3 linked regions of the Astyanax mexicanus genome follow. The protein of the gene in region 3 interacts with the protein of the main gene of each other region in a pairwise test. Links are inferred from orthologs where the notes say so. Each region holds a gene or a part of one and is shown on either strand. Other genes may lie near its edges.

Region 1 (4,841 bases), on a different chromosome or scaffold from region 3:
TTCTTAGCACCTTTATGTATTTGTGTCTCATACATAAATAACTGTCTAACTGTCTGTGGACAGATTAATTGTGTTTGCATGTGTAAAATACAGAATATTTTGCAGTGTTTAACTGGAACATCAAGTGTGTGACATAAATTCCAGCTCTGCCATCTCACTTTCAAGAAAAATGTGGAGTTCTCCTTTCAATGAGCTGTGCGATTAGCTGTAAAAATTTTATTGTATTATCTGCATTTTCTCATTGTATGAGGGTGTTGGTTACATTAACTTTTTTATAGGGCCAACCCAAACATCTTCACTGGCAAAAGCTGACTTGCCCTGGTCTACATACTTCTGGATTCTTCTCAGTAATTTGCAGGCATGTTTGATGTCAAGAATGTGTCAACCCTAACCTTCGATATTAGAGCTGAGAAAACACTGATAAGGCAAGGAAAACTTCAAGGAAAGGTTCTTAATGTGTTTTTTGGATGGCGAACAAATGTATTTCTTAGATTTGGTCTTGGATTTGATATTTTAGCCTTGTGTAAATGACCCAAGAGAAAGTCAAAATATCTTCACTTAAAAGAAAGAAGATTTCGAGATGAGGAGCTCCAGGTTTCCTGTGACGAGAAAGAGCTGCAGCCTACCTTGGTGTCCTGTGAGCTCTGGTGAATAATAATGAATGATGTTGTGTGTAGGCTGCTGACATTTTGCTAGACTGGGGGTATTTGAATGAATAGGGAGAACACGCCAGGACATCCTCCCTGTTCAGTCAGTCGCTGGGTGCTGAGCACACATTTGGCTGTGTGTCGGTTGGAGCTAATAGATAGCTTAGCTAGCTTTTTCCTTTTCCTCCTCCTGACCTGCTCTCTCTCTCTCTCTGTCTCTTTCTCCACTATAGGATGAAGATGGGCAAGAACAGATGAAGACTTCACTAAATGAAGACTGTTAACGTTACATGACAAATCGTTGAGTGAAGAAAACAACGGCTCCGTGAGAGGATTCTGCCTCAGCATTTTTTCCTTTTAATTCTCACGTAGCCGAGATTGAGAATACAGATTCGCGGAGCTGCGAAGAATACGCAAGATGCGTAGCTACGAAGTGTGCGTAAACTAGTTACGTTCTCTTCTGGATTCTGGGTTCGGCGTGCACGAAGTGAATACGGCTCTTGAATACGCTTCGGGTTGGTCGCATAGCTAGGACCCTCTTTCTCCCCCTCCTCCTCCTCGCCTCCTCCACATTAACCTAACGTTAGCTAAACTGCAACCGGGCTTTCATGTCAGTCGCTGGGACTGGACTAGCGAGCACGTGCGGCTGGGGGGAGAGCGTCCGGAGACTTCTGATGGACGGGGACTTCTGTCTCGAGCCGTTCAAAACAAAAGCAAAAAAATGTGCCCTAATAAACGGATGGCAACGTTAAAAGCCGTGGAGAGAAAACTTTCCAGTTTGCTCAGTCTGCTTCTCGCAGTGCTGGTGGGGTTACTGTAAAAAGAGCCGTAGCTGGGGGTGAAGGTGGGGGTGAGCCGGGGGTGAGCCAGGGGGAGGTGGGTGTAATAGCGAGGCTACTGCGCATTGAGGGGACGGCCGGTGTTTCGCTGGGCTTTCGCGCAGATGAAATGACTCTCTGCGTCTCTCTGGCGCTGTCAAAAAAGCCGAACTGCAGCGGTGCCTGAAAAAAAGAAAGCGCCATCCTAGCTGCGGATAACTTGTGCTATTCGGAGCCTTTCTATATATCCTTCCAGAGGGAGAGGAGGAGGAAGAAGCCGGCCGGCCGACTCTTTCTAGCTAGCTGGCTGGCTAGCCAAGGTCGGATGCAAGTAAACAACCGATAAAAAGAAAGCACTAGCCGGGGCGTAGCGAGCCGTATGGGTCCTGCGTACTCAAAAAAGCCCCCCATTTCCACACGGGAAGCTGCGCTGTGTCTGTGCTGTTAAGGAAGGGAGGGAGGTGGACCGGGGAGACAGCTAGCTAGAGAGAAGGGGACGGTGGACGCTGGTCCTGCTCCTGCTCCGCCGCGTCCTGAAGCCTCTCGACTCTCGACTTCCACGCCCTTTTTTGCCTGTTTGTTTTTTGCACACTGTGGATGTCTGCGCGCTTTGACAGAGACTCGTGTTGCGAGCTGCAGCGGCGAGGGGCCTGCTGCCGCTGCCCCCATCAACAAACACTGCGAACACCGCGGCTCCGTCCAAGCGTCGTTGGCTTTGCAGAGGTTCGCAGCTGGCTGGCCGCCTGCTTACGGACATTGCGTACGACCGCAGCGTACGATACGGCCGTTGGAGAAGCTCGGGTGACATTGCAGAGGCTCTCCTCTGCGTGCGTGGTGCGTTCGTTCGTAGTCCCACACACTTTCCCGCACACTCCCTAGTTAACCTAACTCCCTACAGCCCCCCCTCAGCTCTCCGCCCCACCGCCCCCCCCCCCAGTCAAACTACTCCGGGTGTTAGCTCGCTAGCTACGCCGCTCGTCGGACGGGAGCGGGAGGAGGAGGGAAGAGGAAAGAAGGAGGAGGGAAAGGTGGAGCATCGTCCGTCGTACGCCCTGACGCAGTGGGACTTTTACGTGTGGTCGGCGTTTCCCCCCGCCCTTCCCGCGGTGACGGTGATGGGTCGGAAGCGGTGTGTCGGTGCAGATTGTTCGAAGATGGCGGCCGGGTGCTGCGGGGTGAAGAAGCAGAAGTTGTCGGGATCCCCCGGCTCGGGGGGGCCCGGCGGGGCGGGGAGCGGGGTGGCAGGGGCCGGACACTGCGGATCGGACTTGGGGATCGGGTCCTCCTCCACCGTGGTGGCCGGCAGCGTGAATCGGGTGAACGGCCTGGGGGGTCCTGGGGGTAGCGGCGGCAGCAGCGGCGGCGGAGGAGGAGGCAGCAGCGGCAACTCCACCGCTCTGTCCCCAACTCCGGGAGGCTACAACTCTACCGGCCTCTCTCCGAACCTCAGCCCCGGTCCTGGCTCTGGAAGCGGGGCCAGGAAGATGGTAGTGTCGGCGGAGATGTGTTGCTTCTGCTTCGACGTGCTTTATTGCCATCTATACGGATACCAGCCTCCCCGAACACCCAGGTTTACAAACGACCCCTAGTAAGTAGCGGGATGGCTAAGTTAGCTTAACTGGCTAAAATAGCAGCTAAGTAGTGATGTTCTCGGTCTTTGTCAACCTAAAGAAGCCTAAAGAAATATGACTTGAAGTAGTTTAGCTAAGGAGTCTTGCCTGCTTTTCAGTAAACACTGACACGAGTCACCATTAACCTATATTTTCTTGCTACTTTATTAACTACCAAATGCTTAAATGTATTTCCCTGGTAACTTTCAACTTTTGTGTTCAGATAGAGTTAGCTAAGTAGGTGGCTACGATTGAAAACATTTGTAGTTTTAGATATTTCTCTAAAAAAGTAACCTATCTAACTTCAATCAACTCGTCGCCTAAGGAAGGAGAAAAAAGTGCCCGAGTTCCTTTATTTACTAAAGCCGCTGTTGTTTGAATGAACTTCAAGTAGCTGGACTATTTACCACGAAAACACTGACTGGTGTGAGCTTACGGGTTTAATGCTAGCTAGCGGTTAGCCAACTTAGTCCGGATTAATTTTTTATCAGATACACTGGCCGAGCGTCCCACTTTATTTCAGCTAAAGCTAATTCTCTGGGTTAGTGTGGGTTTCTTATACTATAAATACGGTCAAACAAATTTCAAAAACACGTAGGTAAATAACTGGATTGTTATCAAACATACGGTAGTTTATGTGTGTCTCTTTTGTGTGCTCTTGCTAACGCTCTGTTGGGTGATGTTTTACAGTGAACTGAATTATGAACCCGTTAGCTACGCTAGCTAGCTAACCAAGCTGCACACGTTAGCTAAGCTTGTTCGGCTAGCCACGAATATTAGCCAGCTAGCTCACTTGCCAGTGAAATTCCTGAAATTACACAGAATTTCGACACCAGTTCTTTCCACGTTTATAATTAGTTCCTTTGGCTGGCTTGTTTTTGTCAAGCATAATGTCGGCTAAAAACAGCCAAGCGCTTTAGCTGTCTATCTATTTATCTAGGTGTGCATCTAGCAGTCATTGGCTAGCTTAGCTAGCTAGCGCTAGATTGGTTAGCTAACAAAGCCGGAGTTGTTTACGGTGCCTTTAACAGCAGAGCAGTGTAGTTTTAAAGTCGACTCCCTAGCATATTTCCAGCTAGGCTTAATTGGCGTTTCTCTGCTTATATTAATTTGGGTGGTTGAGGTTAGTTATTAGCAAACCCAATTACTTAATTTAAGGACATGTCCAGTCTGCGAAAGCTAACCCTGCAAATAAACATCACTGTAGCGCGAATGAGTGACCGGTCAGTTTTTGCTGCTTTGTTCGGTAGCGTTAGCTGGGTTAACACTAGCCAGCACATTGGTGGACGAATCACCCAGACCATGTTGTTTGCTTGCTATTCAAGTTAAAATAGAGGTAGATAACAACCTAAGGTAGGTTGACTAGTTAACATAGGTAAAATATGACTCCAGCAAATATGGATCCGTTTAGACCTCCACTTGAGTAGCAGTACACAAACATTTGCCTTTAAATGTATTTAATTTGTGAATGTAAAAGTACCGTTGTTTATTATGACTTTTTTTTTATTGTGACGATTTTCGGTCATGTTTGTAACAAAACTCATGAGTAAACAGTTCGTTTTAGATGATGAGTATCACTATTTGTTCACCAGTCTTTTAAAAATGCCATTAATTAGTCTGACAATGATGTCTATTAAAACAGCCATTATAACAGAACTGAAGGTTTTTGAAGTACCATATATTTTGCACTATAAGGCCCACCTGATTATCAATAAAGGTACATTTCCTGGTCTATTTTCATACATAAGGAGCCCTGGATTAAAAGG
Region 2 (4,841 bases), on a different chromosome or scaffold from region 3:
CCTGAGTACTATAGCAAATATAATTATTATGATGCAGGTCAGTGCACAGCAGGGTTAGATCAACCCTACAGTTACCACTGTAGCTCTAACCCTGCAGAGCTTTATCAAAGCTGTTAGCATCCCGGCTTACATACTCCAATCCTGTGTCCAGTATCTTTAAAACTGAGGTACATTTATCAGTCAGATTTGACTGAAACACAGTAGGAGGGAAAAGCTTTGGGATGAATCAGAATGATATGTGGAACATATAGAAGAAATGCTTTAAAGTGCCTCACTGGCTGCTAATAGCGTTACTAGTGAGACGCTGTAACAGAGCTGATCTGGAGTAAAGGAGCATTGTGAAATGTAGTAGGTGTTAGTTCACTGGGGAAAGTCTTTCTCTCTCTCTCTCCCTCTCTCCCTCTCTCTCTCTCTCTCTTTTTTTTCTTGTGCCGTCTTTCTGCTCTTTTTGTCTGCATCTCTTTCTTGTCTTTTATGGTCTTTTTTCCCTTTTTCTATTCTATTGTATTCCCTTTTATTTTCTTTCCTTGTCTTTCTCTACTTTCTCCCCTGCTACTTCTCTTTTTCTTTCTCTCTGTTTTACTTTCTCTTTGTCTCTCTCTTTCTTTCTGTTTTTTCTACCCTTTCTCTCTTTCTGTTTCTCTCCACCTTTTTTCCATTTTCTTGAAATTTTCCTTTTTTGTCTCTTACCTGATTTGCTCTTCACTTTTATTTCTTTCTCTCACTTTCTGCCCCCTTTTTATCCTCTACTAAATTATATCTTTTTTCTCCCCTTTCTCTGTCTTACTCTTTCTCTCTTCTTCCTCCCCTCCTCTCTCTTTACTGTTTTTTCTTGTCTTGATTGTTTTTCCCTCCATTTTTCTTTTTCCCTTCCTTTTTGTCTTTTTCCTTTCCCCTTGTTGTCTTTTCTCTTTCCTCATTCTTTATTACACTTTCTCTCTTTATTTTTTATTCCCTTCGTCCCTGCTATATCGTATTCTTTATCTCAGCATTTGCTTTTTCCCTTCATCTCTTCCTTGTCATTTCGTCTCTTGTCTGTTGTTGTTTCCAGTTTCTTTTTATATTTTCATTGTCTGTTTCTCCTTTTTTATTGTATTTGTTTTTTTCCCCATTACTTCTACTTAGTCTTTCTCTCTCCTTCCTCCTGCTATTTCTCTTTCTGTTTATCTCTACTCTATTTTCGTCTTTTTTGAAACTTTTCTTCTTTTTGTCTCTTACCTAATGTGCGCTTCACTTTTCTTTCTTGCTATCTCTTTCTGCCCACTTTTGTTCCCCCTCTTTATTCAGTTCTTTCTATTTTTACTTTCTCTCTCTCTGTCTTACTCTTTCTCTCCTCTTCCTCCCCTGCTATTGCTCTCTCTCTTTGCTGATTTTCTTTCTTCTTTCTATCTTGTCACTTTCTTTTTTTATCCCTTTTTTTCCTCCACTTTAATTTTTCCTTTCTTTTTTGTCTTTCTCCTCTCTTCATGTGTTGTCTCTACTTCTTTCTTTCTTTTTCTTTCCCTTTATTCTTTATTACTCCCCTCCCTACCTGCTATCTCTTATTCTTTCTCTCAGTCTCTCGCTTTTTTTTTGCAATACTGTTTCTTCTCTCTCTCTCTCTGATTTGCTCTATGAGAGGACTCTGTGTTTAGCTGGCTGCTGGGCTGAGGAGTGAGTGAGTGAGTAAGTGAAGGAGGGAGGGTGGCAGCTACAAGTGCCCAATCTCTGACAGCCTCTGGCACTCATTTGAGCGAGAGTGAGGGAGAGAGAGAGAGAGAGAGAGAGAGAGAGAGAGAGAGAGGAAGGGAGGGAGAGAGGGAAAAGTTGTTCCACAGAGCACCTTTTATCACCTAGCACACAGAAACACATTCTCCTCCACTTCTGCTGGACTACAGCTCTGAAACACTCCACACACACTTCCCAGCAGGCTACACGTGGACGCTCTGGTCAGGTCAGATGATCAGCTTCGGTGAGTGATTTCTCTCCTCCGTCACTTTTCTGCTGTAGAAAAAAAACATATACATGCTGGTTTGAAATGTTGAATAGAATTTGCTGTTTCCAAAATATTTAATGTACAGATAGTAAATGAACACTCCAGTGTGATCTGCAGCTCAGCCCACATTACAACTGACTGTCAGTTTGATGTATTTTTCTGTTTATAAGATAATTAAGACTAAGCTTTAGGCTCAACCCTCAAAAATACATAACAGCAGCCAATGGGAAGTTGGTAAGTTCAGCACCTGCACAAATATCTCTATTGTAAGTACATTAGATGGATTAAAGATGGATTACTGTATATCCAATCCTATTCAATCCATACAGTCTGCCTTTAAACACACGTGAAGTGAACGAATGGGTGGTTATGAAGAGCTCACTTAACAGTGTGGTACTGTTATAGGTTTCCACCACTGCAACAAGTTCTCCCAGCTATGAGTGGTATTATTGAAAAGTGGACCATTTAGGAACCACAGCAACCCAGCTGTATGAAGTCACAGAGAGAGGTTGTGTGAGGTGGTTTCTGAAATTAGTTTTTGCATGGTGGGGTGTCTTTAAAAGCAAAGCGCATAAACTGTGCACTGGCTGCATGCAAACCTTAAATCACCAAGCACTATGTCAAACATCGGATGGAGGGATGTAAAGCATACCCTCAATGGACACTGGATGTGGTGATACATGATTGTTCTACATGATTGATGCATTGAGCTTCTCTACCTGAAAGTCTAATGGTTGAAAATGTTACCTGCTTGACTTCACTGTGCCAACAGTAAAGTTTGGTGGAGGAAGGATAATGCTATGGAGTTGTTTTTCAGGTATTGCTCTCTTAGGGTGTACTCTCACTAATCATGGTTTGGTTGAATCGTACTTGGAGCCCTTTCCCCTTGCTGGCCTGCACTCATACTTGGTTTAAACAATCCGTGCCTGAGCACGCTTACGTCACTCACTGCTCAGTGTGCTTGCTAGTGCTATGCTGAATTCAGCACCCCCACCATAAAAAGCACCCTCTCTGCAGTCTTTTGTCATCTCAAGACTCGACTACTGCAACTCCCTACTGGCTGGTCATCCACTGCGAGTCACCAAACCCCTGCAACTAGTTCAGAATCAGCGGCAGCACGACTTGTCCTTAATCTTACGAAGTTTAGTCATGTGACTCCTTTGGTGCATTCCCTTCACTGGCTTTATGTTGCCGCCCAAATCAAATTTAAAACCCTGACGCTGGCCTACAAAGCCAAAAACGGACCAGCTTCTTCCTTCTCGATGGCACTGATGGTCAAAGCTAGATCTGTACCAAGAGCTCTTAGAGCTTCCAGTATGGCTCAACTCAAACCACCATCTCTCAAGATTAACAGAAAACAAACATGGACTCTTCTCTGTGCTGCAGGACCAAAATGGTGGAATGAACTTCCACTGGGTGTGAGAACAGCAAATTCACTCGCGGTCTTACTTACTCGCCCCAGTTCACAAAACAAGATCATATAGGCATGGTTGCTTGAGTTTGGTGTGGAAGGGAAGGCCCTCACAGAAACCTAACATCAACCCAAACAAACACTGTTGGGGTGATGCACCAAATATTTGGAAACCAAAAAATGTGGGCAAATGTACCAGTAAATAAATAAGGGAATAAATAAAAAGATCAAACACATTTATTAAGGAAAGAGTTAGAAAATATCCAAGCTGTACAGGACTAGTATAGTAACATAAGCTGAGCATTTATTAGCATCTATTTTTTCAACAAAAGTCAGCTTAAGTACCACTGTTGAGGTAAATTCGCAACTAAAGTCAGTAGATAGAGTAGCACTGCTGAAGTATATTCACAATTTACACTTACTGCTGAGGATAATGTACTGTGTTTTGTTGGTGTATTAGTCATGTTAAGTGTTCAATACATATTTTATATGGTAGTTTTGTAAAAGCAAGAAAAAAAACATTTTGGCTATAAAATTAGTTCAATGTTGAAAAAAGTGGCAAACTTAATGAATACCTGTGGAAAATCATGTTAAGTATTCTGCCTTTGGCCAATTATGTCATTTTGTTTCATCCTTTTGGTTATGGCCACACAATTTCATTTTTGTGCATCCCTAATATGAATGCCTATTGACTCAAGAAACCTTGTATGTACAAGAAAACTTTTGTCATAAAGATATGTGTTAGACTTGCAACAGCTGTGACCTACAGCATAGACAATATTTAGTCGCTGTTTACATTTGTACACTTTGGGGGTGGTGGTGTTGGCGATTGTGTCATACAGTGAACTCCAAACACTGCTGTTTATTTTAATAAGATCAGACAGAGAGATTAGTGAAGAAAAAATGCATTACTCACTAATATAAACTTGGCATTAATGACCAAAGAGAAAAAACCCACACTCTGTATTTACTGTAATAAAAAAAACTGCTCTTATTCACCCATACCAGTGTGAATTGTCATTGTAAAATTCACACTGCAGTCATTCTTTTCTCTGAAAGGGGGAATTAAAATACAGCCCTGGCCTTTTGTATAAATGTGCATGTATATAGTAAATAATCATATGACTATAACCTACCAGTACCAGAATTAACCCTCCTGTTATGTTCATTTGTCAAGAACAGCAATGGTGTTCCAGGGTCAGTTTGACCTGGTGCACGTTTAATTATCCAAAATATGTCTGAAACAAACAAAAAAATCCTAACAAGCAGTGTGAATATTTAATTACTAACTCCATTATTTATTATTCTATCAATATTTGGTGCAATGGCTTTCCTTACCTCCAACAGGTAATGGTTCAATTAGGATAATTCACTCTTTTTTTTTCATAAAAAAAATAATGTTCAAACTTTTTTTTTTATGTTTTACTACTTTATAACTTTTAAAAGACCTACAGA
Region 3 (4,841 bases):
CTGTATCTGTGTGTAATGTGAACGAATCTGTTCCTGAAACGCCTCACATGCGCACATTGATACCTGCATAAACTTTGTCTTCTTTACCACCAACAAAAAACGCCATATTTACGAGACGACTCATAGCTTTATAAAGGGAAATGGATGTGTCGTTAGCAGCTCATATGTGGAGCATCTTTTACTGGAGTGGACAGAAAACAGCTGGTCTGAGGTTCATGCTCAGGTCGAAAATGTGAGACAGAAGCCTGTAGCGCATGCATGAAAGAAAAAAGACGCATGAATTCTGATTTGACCGTTCATATTTATGTCGCATGTCCATGGATTGGATACATATCCAGTTTAGGACCACATATGAAAGTGATGCAAGTCTGATAAAAAACAAAAAAAAAAACAGATTGGGCACAGCCATGAAAAAATCAGATCTGAGCCACATTGAGCAAAAAATTTGATTTGAGTTACTTCAGCCTGCTAATGTGAACGTATCCTTTAACTTTGTTGCATTTTAAAGTCACAATTAAGAATTAAATGTTAACTGATTTAGTCCTTGATCCAATACCACTGCATTTAATAAAATTGATGAAATTGAGTAAGAGCGTGGTCAAAAAGTGTCTTACTAAGCTCCTGTTTCCAGCCACCTCCACCAAACTACCCTACTTCATATACTTTTTAACCTCATGATGTGATCACAGGTGCAATGCTACAAAAACGTAATTCAGTATCTCACAAACATTTCAAATTCAACATAATTCAAATTCGAAACACAAAATAAATGTAAACTGATTTGCTGCAAAATTAAAGAATAAAATGAATGCAGCTATAAACAGCTATAACACTAACGTTCTGTATCGTTTAATCGTAAGCCCTTTAATGCTATACATATCATATTGCAAAGTTCTCACCAATACACAGGCCTACTAGTCACATGAAGGGACCAGGTGTAATTGGGATCTGTATCTGGATAGGTACTTATGCTTAAACCATATGGCTCGCTGGTCATTTGTTGAACAGTTGAACCAATAAGTGTGGGTGTCAGGAGTCCCAATGTGATGTCTGTGTGTGGCCACCTAGGGGGCTTCAATTTGTCACCATGTTGTGGGAGGTACATAGATAGAGTCTGTGGGTGTTCTGAAAATGACAGACCTGTAACGGACCTCCGACACGGCCTATTAAACGAATGAATGCTCTCTCAACTCCTGCACTGGAGTTTAAAGCTGAGAGTCGAGAGAAAGCACCTCCTGGAATGTTACACTGTTTTTTTTTTAAGGGTTCACATCTCGTTGAGCATTAACTATGTCTTTGGGTCACTTCTGAACTGTAATTATTACTGTTCCCCCACATCTCGTGAAGCAGTGACTCTGCAGAAATGGACAGCCGGGCCTGTATTTAGACAGTGAATAACGTGCAGAACAAAACCCTGGATTGTTCCTGTGCTGCATGCAGCTCTGTAGGAGGAAATTGATTCAGTGTGAGAGCTGTGAGAGCTGTGAGAGAGTTGGGATAGAGCGAGTGCACTATATGGCTATGGCTGTGGAGTTAATGAAATAAAGGTGTAATCAGTGTCACTCTTTACAGCGCCTCACATCTAAACATTTCTGTCTTTATATCATCCAGCGAGGACCTCCAGTTTAAATATTTGGACAGGAGGAGGGAAAAAAAGAGGTGGATGACTTTTCCAAGTAGACGTGTGTCTTTTCCTCCCTTTTTAGCACACTCACCCTCTCTCTCTCTCTCTCTCTCTCTCTCTCGCTCTCTCTCTCTCTCTCTCTTGATTTTCTCTCTCTTTTTCTCTCTCTCTCCCTTTTTCTCTCACGTTCCTTACTCTTCTTGCTAATTTCTTTCCGCATTCCACCAGCTTCTCTCCCAAGGATATAAATATCTGGCTGTGGAGTGAGGGAGGAAAAAAGATGGGTGAGATGAAGGGTGAATTGAGGTGGGAGGGAAACATGGAGAGAAAAATGGAGAGAAAGTTGCGAGCTGTGGGGGGCCAGTTTAAATGAAACCAGGTGCGTTGGAACTATTTGTGTGTATTTGCTCTGTATGTATGTGTTTGAGTGTTTAAGTGTGCGTGTGTGTGTAAATGTGTAGGGTCTGCTGGTGGTGGTGGTTTGTGAGGAAGGGTTCAGGGGGGGCGGTCGAATGTGTGTGTGTGTGTGTAAGTGTGTGTGTGTAACTGTGACTGTGTGAATCTGTGCACTGTTGTTCTGCCGGCAAACCGGACAGATTTGGAATTTTGGAATTTGGGCCGCAGACCAGGAATTTTCATCCTGGGGGGTGAGGAGAGGAGGAGAGGAGAGGGGTGGGGGGTGGTCAGAGGGGTGTCTGGGGGGCGGAGGACGGCGGCGCAGGGGGCCTAGAGGGGGGGTCGGAATGGGCTGTCCCTCTCTTCCGTCTCGCCCTCCTCGGGATACATTCATACACTCCAGCTGTCCGTCTCCACACTCCACTCAGTCAAGCTGAAGAGGTAGAACAAGGAAGAAGGAGAAGAACAAGAAGAGAAGGAAGAGGCAGCTAAAGAAGAGAGAGACAGAGAGAAAAAGAGGAAGAGAAGGGAGAGAAACCTTCACCGGAAGAGAAGAGAAGAAAAGAGGAGAGACAGACAGAGAGAATCCACAAGAATCCAAGGCCACAACAGGAGGAGAAGTGACCTGTGAGTACAACATGCTTCAGATTTCACATTCACTAAACAAGGGATTACAATAAAAGTAAAAAAAAAAAAAGTACTAAAATATTATCATCTCAATATAGAAGGTGAGAATAAGACATTCAGTACCTCATGAAAGGAGAAAAAGAAAAGAATAGATGAGTAAGATACTGCATAAAGAGGAAAGATAGTAAGATACAGTAGAAACAGAAGAAAAAAAACAACAGAAAAGTAAATTTTTTCCTTGAAGGCTCTCAGTACGTCACCCATGCTCCACAGCTCCACTCCAACCATTCACAGCCTCAGCGCCCTGGTGCTACTTCACTCCGGCCACAAAAGTGCTGGAATGACCCAGAATACCCTCACTGTGCAGCCGTCACGCAATCCTATCTCTTACAGTCAGCCCCGCTGAGACGGGCCAGACGCTCGTGGCTTTAGTCCTCCAGTGTCTCTTACCCAACCGTCAGGATGCTGTTACTGTTACGCATCACGCTTCATGTACACACTATACTATTGCAAAACTTTCCAACCTCGCTTCCAGCTTTCTTTCACAACCAGCACTAATGTCACTCACCTCCTCTCTTAGACCCCCACTAGAGCAGCAGCTCTGGGCAACTTTTACTATAAAAAAAGGAGCTTGGAAAAGGCTGGAACTGTGTGAGTGGCTGTACTTTCAGGATTGTCTATCTATAGTTTTAGGCTGATTTGTCCAGTTTTATTCAACAAATGAGGCTTTTTAAAGTGACTCTTTGGTCACTTTAGTAGGCCTGTCACTATAATTATGTTATGGACCTATCATACTTATCAATTAATATCCATTGTCCATCATGGATGTTAACATACAAATAAATGTCACTAATATTTTATTCAGTCAGGCATTGAACCATGCATCAGTAACATGACTGAAGTATTCACCTCTCAAACTATTATTAATCAAATGTTCATTGTCTCTCACAAGGGTGTAATAGCATAATAGCATCATTATTTCTGAGAGAATATAGAATATATCATCCAATACAAAAAAACAAAAAAAAAAACAGTTATCATGACATGTCTACTGCTTAGCAGCGCTAACAGTTAACAGCTCAAGAAAAACACGTTTTGGCCCCGCTGAAAAAAAAAACACAGGTGCCATAACAAGGAGAGAAAAAAAACACGTACAATTAAACCCCCCCAGCATGGTGTCACGACTCAGAACAGTGGCCTACTGTACAAGCACAGGCCACTTCTTCACCGAATGTTCACGCAACGCTTCATCACGTTTGTTTGTATATTTTTGCAATTACTGACTTTTGGCTGCATTATTTTATATGGCTCAGGGCTGACTCCAGCATTCATTCAACGGCAAAGAAGCATGCCGGGCAGTCGCGCCTACAGACCTGTGCAAAAACACCTCAGCAATTTCTTTAAAACTGTTTATCTTGGTAGAAAAACAGTAAAAATGAATTCGAAAAAGTAGGTGATGTCTGGTTTGAACTGGTTAGAAGAACACATATTTGTAGATGTACATTAAGCCTTTCAGAATGGTTTGGTGTGAAACACTGTGTTCTAGAGTTTAAGGGGTCAGGCCTTTGAAAGTTCATACCTTACCCTACATTTGTGCCCTATTGGAGATGTCCACATAGCAGGTAAAGTAGCCAAAATGTTTTTTTCTTAGTCCTTTCCCACTATATTTTAAATGTGAACTACATCAGATGTTCAGTCCAAACTGTTAAACTGGCGCCTACGCACAGAAAACAAAGCTTCCATAAGGTTTTTGTTTCATCTTCTCCAGCATCAAAGTAGCTCTCAAAGTTCCAGGGTTCCTGTTGCATGAATTTCATTCTGGCTGTTTAGGCTGAGTCGCATTGATGCTTATTGTATATATGTATTGGATTTCAATTTCATAAAATCCACAAAGAAGTGGTTAAACTTTAAATTCAAAAGGTGGAAAAAGGTTTTGTGTTTTTTGTCATTCACATTGCTATGTAAAAAAACATGTAAGTGACAAAAAAGATCATATTTGGTCTAATTTTACCAAATGTGTGACTGTAGCCTTAGACAGAGGTGTGAATAAGGCTTAAGTAAATCTCAATCCCAATCTCAGTCTTACCATTTGAGTCTCAAGCAAATCTAAAATCATAACCTTTATGTCTCAATCAGGTCTCAAGCCTTAATTATCAAGTCAATCTCAGTCAAATCTCAAATCTTACCATTTAAG

The links.
Region 1: the proteins of efemp2a (region 3) and ammecr1 interact in binary tests that used the Homo sapiens proteins (3 or more experiments, as listed by UniProt). The two-hybrid records come from large-scale screens. The link is inferred for Astyanax mexicanus from reciprocal best matches to the Homo sapiens genes EFEMP2 and AMMECR1.
Region 2: the proteins of efemp2a (region 3) and il16 interact in binary tests that used the Homo sapiens proteins (3 or more experiments, as listed by UniProt). The two-hybrid records come from large-scale screens. The link is inferred for Astyanax mexicanus from reciprocal best matches to the Homo sapiens genes EFEMP2 and IL16.

What each region holds. Positions count from the first base shown.
Region 1 is NC_064424.1:19,971,156-19,975,996, reverse strand, and holds the start of ammecr1 (AMME syndrome candidate gene 1 protein), read left to right. Parts: upstream 1-1,531; 5' UTR 1,532-2,580; coding exon 2,581-3,053; intron 3,054-4,841.
Region 2 is NC_064423.1:11,234,957-11,239,797, forward strand, and holds the start of il16 (pro-interleukin-16), read left to right. Parts: upstream 1-1,800; 5' UTR 1,801-1,938; coding exon 1,939-1,951; intron 1,952-4,841. UniProt on the Homo sapiens protein: Interleukin-16 stimulates a migratory response in CD4+ lymphocytes, monocytes, and eosinophils. Primes CD4+ T-cells for IL-2 and IL-15 responsiveness. Also induces T-lymphocyte expression of interleukin 2 receptor. Ligand for CD4.
Region 3 is NC_064417.1:45,817,528-45,822,368, reverse strand, and holds the start of efemp2a (EGF-containing fibulin-like extracellular matrix protein 2a), read left to right. Parts: upstream 1-2,368; 5' UTR 2,369-2,647; intron 2,648-4,841. UniProt on the Homo sapiens protein: Plays a crucial role in elastic fiber formation in tissue, and in the formation of ultrastructural connections between elastic laminae and smooth muscle cells in the aorta, therefore participates in terminal differentiation and maturation of smooth muscle cell (SMC) and in the mechanical properties and wall integrity maintenance of the aorta.